Linked DNA regions of Mus musculus: region 2 is reported to be linked to region 1. The links are microRNA targets in miRTarBase. Many come from high-throughput screens and were not tested one by one. Region 1 holds a microRNA gene; the other region holds the end of a gene's coding sequence.
What was found. Region 1 holds the annotated microRNA mmu-miR-6953-5p (AAGGGGCAGGGGCAGGGAUUCAAGUG, at 1,702-1,727, shown strand). A microRNA usually pairs through its seed, bases 2 to 8, with sites in the 3' UTR of a target mRNA and lowers its output. Matches are read on the target gene's strand: a 7mer-m8 pairs with bases 2 to 8, a 7mer-A1 pairs with bases 2 to 7 and ends in A, and an 8mer does both.

Region 2: the mRNA of Lypd1 is a reported target of mmu-miR-6953-5p. Seed matches in the 3' UTR shown: 7mer-m8 at 2,153-2,159.

What each region holds. Positions count from the first base shown.
Region 1 is chr15:76,246,495-76,250,880 of GRCm38, forward strand. Mir6953 (microRNA 6953) reads left to right here and starts at 1,697; the gene lies at 1,697-1,764. Grina (glutamate receptor, ionotropic, N-methyl D-aspartate-associated protein 1 (glutamate binding)) reads left to right here and starts at 313. Exons shown (of 7, transcript NM_023168.3): 1 at 313-406; 2 at 1,357-1,683; 3 at 1,765-1,874; 4 at 1,955-2,155; 5 at 2,278-2,406; 6 at 2,484-2,627; 7 at 2,723-3,410. The coding sequence starts at 1,380. The coding sequence ends at 2,872.
Region 2 is chr1:125,869,561-125,873,946 of GRCm38, reverse strand. Lypd1 (Ly6/Plaur domain containing 1) reads left to right here. Exons shown (of 3, transcript NM_145100.4): 3 at 376-4,386. The coding sequence ends at 611. It overlaps Gpr39 (G protein-coupled receptor 39), which reads right to left. Exons shown (of 2, transcript NM_027677.2): 2 at 85-1,577. The coding sequence ends at 1,063. Among named protein-coding and RNA genes, the nearest start is that of Gm41943, 30 kb to the right of the region's middle.

The sequences.
Region 1 (4,386 bases):
AGCACCCACGCCAGAACCCAACCATCTCTGATCAGAAAGCGCAGGGCTTCAGGACTCTGACTTAGGACGCCTACAGACAATAGCAGACTGCCTAGGCAAGCTGGACCAAGCAGTTTCTGTAGGCTCAGAAGCTCCGGGACAGGTGACAACATTCGCCTTACATCAAGGCCCCGCCCCGCCCCGCCCCGCCCAAGACCCCACCCCACCACAAGGCCCCGCCCCATCACAAGGCCCCGCCCCATCATAAGGCCCGCCCAGTCACAAGGCTCTTCTGCGTCTCCCCAGCGGCAGGCGCAGGCCCAAGCAATCCGGCCGCCCAGCGGGTGCAGGTGCGGACGCACCGGCCATCACCGCGCGCGGCTGCGCAGCGGGCACCGTAAGCACCGGTCTCTGGCTCCCGGGAGCGGTGAGTCCCCCCCGACCAATCCCAAGAGTGTACCGCCGCCGTAGCCCCCCTGTCAGTCGGCCGTCCCTTCCCTGTGTTACTGAGCGCGACCGCCTCGGGTCAGTTGGTTCGGTCAGGACTCGCGGCCCGCTCACCCAGACTGGTGGCATCATTGGGGGTGGGGAGCTCTGGCGGCCCTGAGCAAGAGGGAGAGGGCGGCGCTCTGTAGCGGCCCAGACCCGAAGCCCAGCGACCCCCAACCCGACAAGACGACCAATCCACCCTCGGGGCGCATTCTGTGGCCACCGCCCCCTCCTCCGTCGTCCCCATCCCTGCTTTGTTCCCTTGAACGCCCTCTGGTCGCTTCCATCCCCCACACACCCCCGCACCCCTCTGTTCCTGGCGTACCCTACTAGCAGACACCTTAGCAGCCAATACAGGCCTGCATTCAGTACCCGGAGCTAGGGACATTCAGCCCTGTGCTTAAGAGGAGGGTCAGGGTTCCCGCTGGTCACAGATGGCCTGGGGATTTCCTCGGATAGAAATAGCCGCTAGCGCTGGCCCCTTCAAGCTGCTTAATAGGAGGGATAGGACGGGGAGAGCCAGGGCACACCCCCACACCTCTTTAGCCACTGCGCTGTGCCTCTAGACTCTTCGTTGCTGAGCTCTGACCCGAAAGACCCGCAGCGGTGAGAAGGCATCTCCCAAGCTCCAAGCTGAGGCTGACAGCCATCACTCTTCCTCCCATCCCCCACCCCAGGTCGAGCTAGAGGAGCCCCTTCCAAGGGGTCCACATCGGTCTCCCGTGCCCCACCCAACGCCTCCTTGTTCTGTGACTCCCTACAGCCCTGTACAAAGGTCATGGCCAGTTGTTTTTGTTGTTGTTGTTGTTTTCTTCCTTGGTCCGCAGCAGGTATGGCTGTCACTGGTTTCAGTCTCTCAGAGCTAACTGTTCTCTCTTTCTCCTCTAGGGGCAGCCACAGAACCCGAGGCCATGTCCCATGAAAAGAGTTTCTTGGTGTCTGGGGACAGTTATCCTCCCCAAAACATTGTGGGGCCCCAAGCCCCTATGCCTCCCTATGTTCAGGCTCCCTACCCTGGGGCCCCATACCCACAGGCCCCTTTCCAGCCCTCTCCCTATGGTCAGCCAGGATATCCCCATGGTCCCAGCCCCTATCCACAGGGTGGTTACCCTCAAGGGCCCTACCCTCAAGGAGGCTACCCACAGGGGCCATACCCACAGAGCCCCTTCCCGCCCAACCCCTATGGACAGCCACCACCCTTCCAGGACCCTGGCTGTAAGTGTAGGGAAGGGTAAGGGGCAGGGGCAGGGATTCAAGTGCCCTCAGGGGACACTGACCCAGCCTCTATGTCCCCAGCACCTCAGCATGGGAACTACCAGGAGGAAGGGCCTCCATCCTACTATGACAACCAGGACTTCCCTGCTGTCAACTGGGACAAGAACATTCGCCAGGCCTTTATCAGAAAGGTTGGGCCTGGCATATGTGTGGTGTGGGAGGAGCCACAAGGAGGCCGCCAAGGCGGGGCTCTGATTGGCTCCTTCCCCAGGTGTTCCTGGTGCTGACCCTGCAGCTGTCGGTGACCCTGTCCACTGTGGCCATTTTCACTTTTGTTGGGGAGGTGAAGGGCTTTGTCCGGGAGAATGTCTGGACCTACTATGTCTCCTACGCCATCTTCTTCATCTCCCTCATTGTTCTCAGCTGTTGTGGGGACTTCCGGCGAAAGCATCCCTGGAACCTTGTTGCTCTGGTAACTCTCAATCCCTGAGCCCAGTTCACCTAGGCCTGTGGGACAGGACAGGGAGGTTGGACAGGGTTGGACCAAGAGCAGCTCCCCACACCCAAGGCCCCCCCTGTGATCCTCTTCCGCAGTCGATCCTGACCGTCAGCTTGTCCTACATGGTGGGCATGATAGCCAGCTTTTACAACACGGAGGCAGTCATCATGGCCGTGGGCATCACCACAGCTGTCTGCTTCACGGTGGTCATCTTCTCCATGCAGGTGAGGGGGACCTAAGACAGGACGGTTGCCCCAGAGCCCTCAACACCCACAGTCTCACCTCTCTCCTTCCCTCCCAGACCCGCTATGACTTCACCTCGTGCATGGGCGTGCTCCTGGTGAGTGTTGTGGTGCTCTTCATCTTCGCCATCCTCTGCATCTTCATCCGGAACCGCATCCTGGAGATTGTATACGCCTCGCTGGGCGCTCTGCTCTTCACCTGCGTGAGTGAGGGTGTTGGGAAGGCCTTTCCTGGGATGCCGGCCGGGATGAGTGAATAAGCTGTCGAATACCGACCAACTGTGTCTTTACCCGCTAGTTCCTGGCAGTGGACACCCAGCTACTCCTGGGGAACAAGCAGCTGTCCCTGAGCCCAGAAGAATATGTGTTTGCGGCCCTGAACCTGTACACGGACATCATCAACATCTTCCTATATATTCTCACCATCATTGGCCGTGCCAAGGAGTAGAACAAGCCCCAGCTCAGGTGGCATGGTTGGCTCAGACCCATGCCCCTGGCATGACAATGCCATCTGTGCTTCCCTCTCTCTGGTCCCCAGGCCTGGCCTGGTGCAGAGGGAGTCCCTCTCGCCCTCTTGTATGTACACTGCAAATACTTAACGTCTGGACCCTCTATGGCCACAGCATGGCCCCCTTTATCCCTTTTGCCCTTGCCAAGGGGCGACAGGGCTGCATTTCTGTGCCACCTTCTGTCCACTCACTGTTGCATGAGCCCTGTCTGCCAGCCCCATCCCAGGGTCAGGGACCAACACCAGGTCTCAGGGGAGAAGGATCATACCAAGAGGTGAGGGTGCACGTCTTCCCTTCTGTCCCGGCTCCCCTGGCATAGAGTACCCGTGTCCCCTCCCCACCCTGCCTTCTGAGGGGCACGCAGGGCGGGGTCTCATTCTTGCGCTGGGCCCCAAGAGCAGAGAGGATGTCATGTTTCAAGGGAGGAGGCTCTCTCGTGCTGCCATTGTTAAAATGCCAATAAAAGGGTACCTTCTGCTTTCTGCTTCTCCTTGTCTCTCTTCACTGCCACTTCCTCCAGGAGGCATGGAGGGGCTTCAGCACCCCCTGCCCTGGCTGATGGTTAGTTCTGGACAGGCACTGACGACAGCGGTTAATGACAGTTAGCTAATCCAGTGTGTGCGCTGCTTCTTTTCTTGCTGTCTTTCTGGCTGCATTTTAAGGTGTGCACCGAGATCTGAACTGATGAACAGGACTCCTGAGGCACGGGCATAGTGCCAGGTCACACAGTGTGGAGTAGACTGTGTATATCTCTACGCTCTGAGAGTAGCACAGTGCAGCAGTGGGCTCTCTATAAGGTCTCTATGTCTCTGACCAGGACCAGCAGCATGTAGGTCATTGGCACAACCCTGAAAGAGCCGAACAGAGATGGCTCTACCAGGCAGGCTCCTTGGCCTCTAACTCCCTGGCATTGCCATTTGGTGCCAGTTCCTCAGGCCTGCCTGTTCCCCCTCCTGCCTTTGCTCCGGCCACATCATCTCTGGAGCCTTCATTTATCCATCCAAGTCCCTGCACAAGTGGAGTGAGTCCTTCTGGATCTCAACACAGTTCAGTCCCCTAACCTGAAACCACAAGGTCAGAGTGGCCTTGATTCTTACAGGTCTCTTCCCTAGGACTCTGCATCTTTGGGCTGTTGCTTCCTGGCAGTATATGGGTGTATTTAATTTAATTAACTAGCATCAGTTCCTCGTGTGTACCACAAAGCCACCCAGTGACCACAGGTACCGAGCCACAAGCGTCCTCTCCCAAACCTGGGGTTTCTGCGTTATCTCCCCAGGCCAGATGCAGTCACCCCCTCCTCCATTCTGTCCCATTCCTTCCCCAGCCAGTCTTCGATTCATCAAGACTCTCGGTCTACAAACCAGACTGTTAGATGTGAGCCGTGGATCCCATGACCCACCTACCTAAGACCCATCTACCTGGTACCCTCAGGATGAAGCCATATTCCTCACCC
Region 2 (4,386 bases), not on the chromosome of region 1:
CATTGCATACATGAACATATATACATACATTGCATGTATGAACATATACACATGCATTGCACACACAGAGTGGTGAGGGGAGACTTTGATTTTAATAGCTCTTTATTCATGGACACCAGCAACTAAAATCTCTGTTGGAACAACATTCACCATAAGTTCTGTGTGTTTGGTGACCTCCATGCCCACCCAAAAGAACTCCCAGACTCCAATAAGTCTGAGAATTCTTATCCCCTGAACCATCTCCCAGATCAGGAGATAAGAGCCCTTTCTGTGGGAGGAGTTAAGGAAAGGTTATGCACTCAGATTTGGGCACAAAGAGATAGCTGGACTGCAGATCACATATGCTAACCCCACTTCTCTGGGCCTGTGTTATAGGGATCATGTACCGGAAGTCGTGTGCATCGTCAGCAGCCTGTCTCATTGCTTCAGCTGGGTACCAGTCCTTCTGTTCCCCTGGGAAACTGAACTCCGTGTGCATCAGCTGCTGCAACACCCCTCTTTGCAATGGGCCGAGGCCCAAGAAGAGAGGCAGCTCTGCCTCGGCCATCAGGCCAGGGCTTCTCACCACTCTCCTGTTCTTCCACTTAGCCCTCTGCTTGGCACACTGCTGAAGCTAAAGGAGATGCCAACCCCTGCTGCCTCACCTGTCTGGCCCTTCGTCTCTCACCTTCCCGAGTCTCTTCTGGGTGTCCTTTTATTCTGGGTAGACAAGGGAGTCTTTTTGTTCCCTCCTTTCAAGTAACGCAAGATTGCCGTGCACAAATACTTTTGTAAGCTCTGAACCAATTCATTCTGAATTTCTGTGTGTAGTTGAAGAAAAAAGCATGGAGCAGAAAGTCCAGACCCTCCCATCCCAATCTGGTTAACCACCGCCAAGGCTAGCCTGGAAGAACCAGCCCTTAGAAGTCATTGAGATACGCATCTGCCTTTCCCAAAGCCTTGAGCTTCCATTCTGTCCCAGTAGGAGTCACAGTCTATTCAGAGACTGCTGCTGCGTGAAGGTAACTTTGCTTTTGCGGGAGGGGAGAGCCAGTTTCGGCTCAAGGCTTCTGAACTTGCCATTCATACTTCCTGCTCCTGTAAACTATTTTCTGGGGTGGACCCAGCTGGTTTGGTCTCTGAGCCAGTCTGTGGTGACTCAGGACTCAAGGGCTGGGGCTTAGCCTCTCCAGGCTTGGCCTCAGTCTGAAAAGTGCTTAAGAAAACCTTGTTAGTTCTCCTGGAGGAAGAGTTACTGCGCCGGGAGGCTAGGAAGATGAGGGGGCTGCGGGCTGAGCTGGTGCTGTCCTTGGTGGAGATGAAGCGGGCACGCTGGCGTTTCTCTTGGTTGGCATGCTGCAGAGTCAGGCGGCAGCAGAGCACCTGCCAGAACACCTTCCGGAACTGCTGAGAGGACACGTTGTAGAGGAGAGGGTTGACCACAGAGCTGAGGTAGAAGAAGGTATCAGAGAAGGGCAGGAGGATCATGTATGCCCTGAAGTACGTTCTGGTCCAGTCATGTTTGGGTTTTGCTGCAGCCATGATCCGTCGGATCTGATTGGGCATCCAACACACGGCCAACGTCACCACAATCAGTCCTGGCAGGCAAGAACAGGAGAGAAAAGGAGACGGGGAGAGAAACAGCATGAGAACAAAAATAAATAAATAAAAACCCATAAAATATTAAGCCCCTTGGTTCTGTTGCTTACTGGCCGAGAAACGGTACCAATCTTTCAGCTCTGTGCTTGTCGGCTTCTTTTTGCCACTGGCAAAGGAGAATTTAATGCTGCTTCAAGCTCAGGGGACTTGGCTATGTTAAAAAGCGTTAAATGCTTTCGACAGTGTATTTATACTTACGGCTGCCTGTTAATTTTCAAAATGTTTTCATTGTTGCTCGTGTATCCAGAAAATATCTCACGTTGGCCATAACCCTGGTTTTGTCTTTTTGTTTCTAGATGAGCCCATAAGGTATAGCCATAGTAGAGGGAAACGGTAGCTGTTTTTATAAACGACTACTGAACTATGTGAGAAGACACAGTGATATTGTGAAGTCAAATGGAAGTTGTTTCATTTTGCCTAAACAAATACATTTTGTGATGCTGATTTTGCATCCAGTTTCAGGAGAAGTAAAATCAGGGACAGGTAGTCATGGAGAAGAGGTACTACTAAGCCCTGCCCCTGTGCGTGAGGCACTGAGTATCCAGACATCCATATGAATGCCCATTACATTCTGGCTTACATAAACACGGCTACTTCTAAAGTATGACAAATGAAATCACAGTACAGTGTGTGTGTGTGTGTGTGTGTGTGTGTGTGTGTGTGTGTGTGTGTAGAAAGTAGACGATATATAAATGTATGTCCCAAAAGGTATACAACCTCCATCTATATCAGCATCTCTGCTTCTTTTCAAACACTTTTGGAAGCCCCTTCCACCTTAACTTAGGAAAACAAATTGTCCCCAAACACCAAAATCTCAAAAACTCATGCCATGTACAGACAGGGGCACACCCTCCGCTTTTGTAGCACTGAGCTGCAGTGTGACTGGCCAGGAATGATGAGGCCCCACAGAAGCAGTGCTGCTCAGCCCCCACTGAGAATGGGGCATTAGCTGACTGGACACTCATTTGCATACCCGGAGCTTACATTCTGGCTCCCACTATCACATCGAATCTATAGTCTGACAAGCACCTAAAATTCACAAGACTCTGACTCTTTATTGATAAAGCAAAGAAACAGGCCTGGGGAACCTTTAGGATGTTACTTACTCCTTTTTATGAGAAGCTGAGCATCATAGCAAATGTTCCCATGAGAGGGCTGATGTTATTTAAAGCAAGAATTTGGTAGCACTGAAGAGATAGCTCAGCAGTTAAGATGTAAGTTCTGTTCCCAGCACACATCAGGTGGCTCACAATGGCCTGTCACTCCAGATGCTGGGGTGGGGGATCTCTCAGCACCTGCACTTACATGCATATCCCTCCCCATACATACATAATAAGCATATATATATATGTATGTGTATATATATATATGTATGTATATATGTATGTATATATGTATGTATATATATTTGCATTTTACAAGTACCTCTTCCCACTCTGAGCCCAATTTGCTAGGAAACTACTGGGAAATAAGAACAGGGTCCCTGCTTCCTGCTTAGGGTGTGTGGTAAATAGCTGAGTAATTAAGGACCCAGGGCAAGCAGACATGTCTATGAGCCCAAGGTTAGCCCAAGTATCCCTTGACAGTACATAACTCAGCTGCTCCCAAAGACAGACCCTCTGAACATAACCCATCTGTCAGAGGGAGGGCCTAGGAAACTCTAGTCCTCTGAACTTCCAAGGATTCTTTCTGTCAAACCTCAGCCAGGGCTTTGAAATACACACCAATCTGCTTATTTCTTCCCTTTGAATTTGCTTCCCTGAGAACAGTCAGTAAATCTAAGAATAAAATAGGCAAAGTAAGATATTGATCTGATAAAAAAAAAAGGCTAAATAAATAAATAAAACTACTATCTCAAGTCAGGAGCAGATTCCAAATCACCTTGTTACTACTGCTGGATTAAAAAGTAACAACAACAACAACAAAAGCACTCACTGTTCTGATTTTTTAAAAAAATCGCCTGCCCAGGAAACTGGTACTGAGGGGCTTCCAGCTCCCCACCCCGATTTTTTCTGAAGTTTCTACAGCTCTGAGCGACCAGTTCAGTGTTGATTGTGAAGGGAACAGATGCCTGCGTGCATGGGGAAGCTGTGTGTTTTCACAAAGCTTCCCAGGCTGCTTTTGTTCCTCCGTCACTGAATTCTGCAGAACAAGTTCAACCATTATCCAAGGATGTGTTTGTTAGGGTATGGGGATGGAGCACACAGCTTTCTGTGTGTGCCATGCGACAGACACTGTGGGACGTTGCTCTTTGAGAATCTAGAAAGCCGACTAGACGCTCCCTGTACCTCCCACGGGCTGAACAAGACATAGCTTTGAAAGCCCACCAGCAAAGGTAGTGAGAGAAGGCAGGTTGGGAAGGAGGAGGGTGGAGGAGGAAAGATTTTGGGGGAGGAGGGGAGGAACATTAGGGTGGAGGAGAGAGATTTGGGGAGGGATGCTGAGGAGAAGTAGCATCATGGATCTCCTTTCGCATTGCACTGTCTCATCTCCTGCTTATACAGACTTCCCTTAGCTTCCTGCATGGCCTTGCTCAGCCTCAATCACCCTGAACTGGTCACTCCATTGAAAGGAGACTTTAGTTTCAAAGAAAAAGGAATGGAATAAAAGAAAGAAGAAGAGAAAAAGGAAGGGAAGAAACCCAGGGTCTGAGTGGAAGAAAGGGATGGGGAAGACTGAACTGGAGCTTGCTCTGTAGTTTCAGCCAGGGTAAAATCCTGACTGTAAGATTGAGATTGAATAACAAAT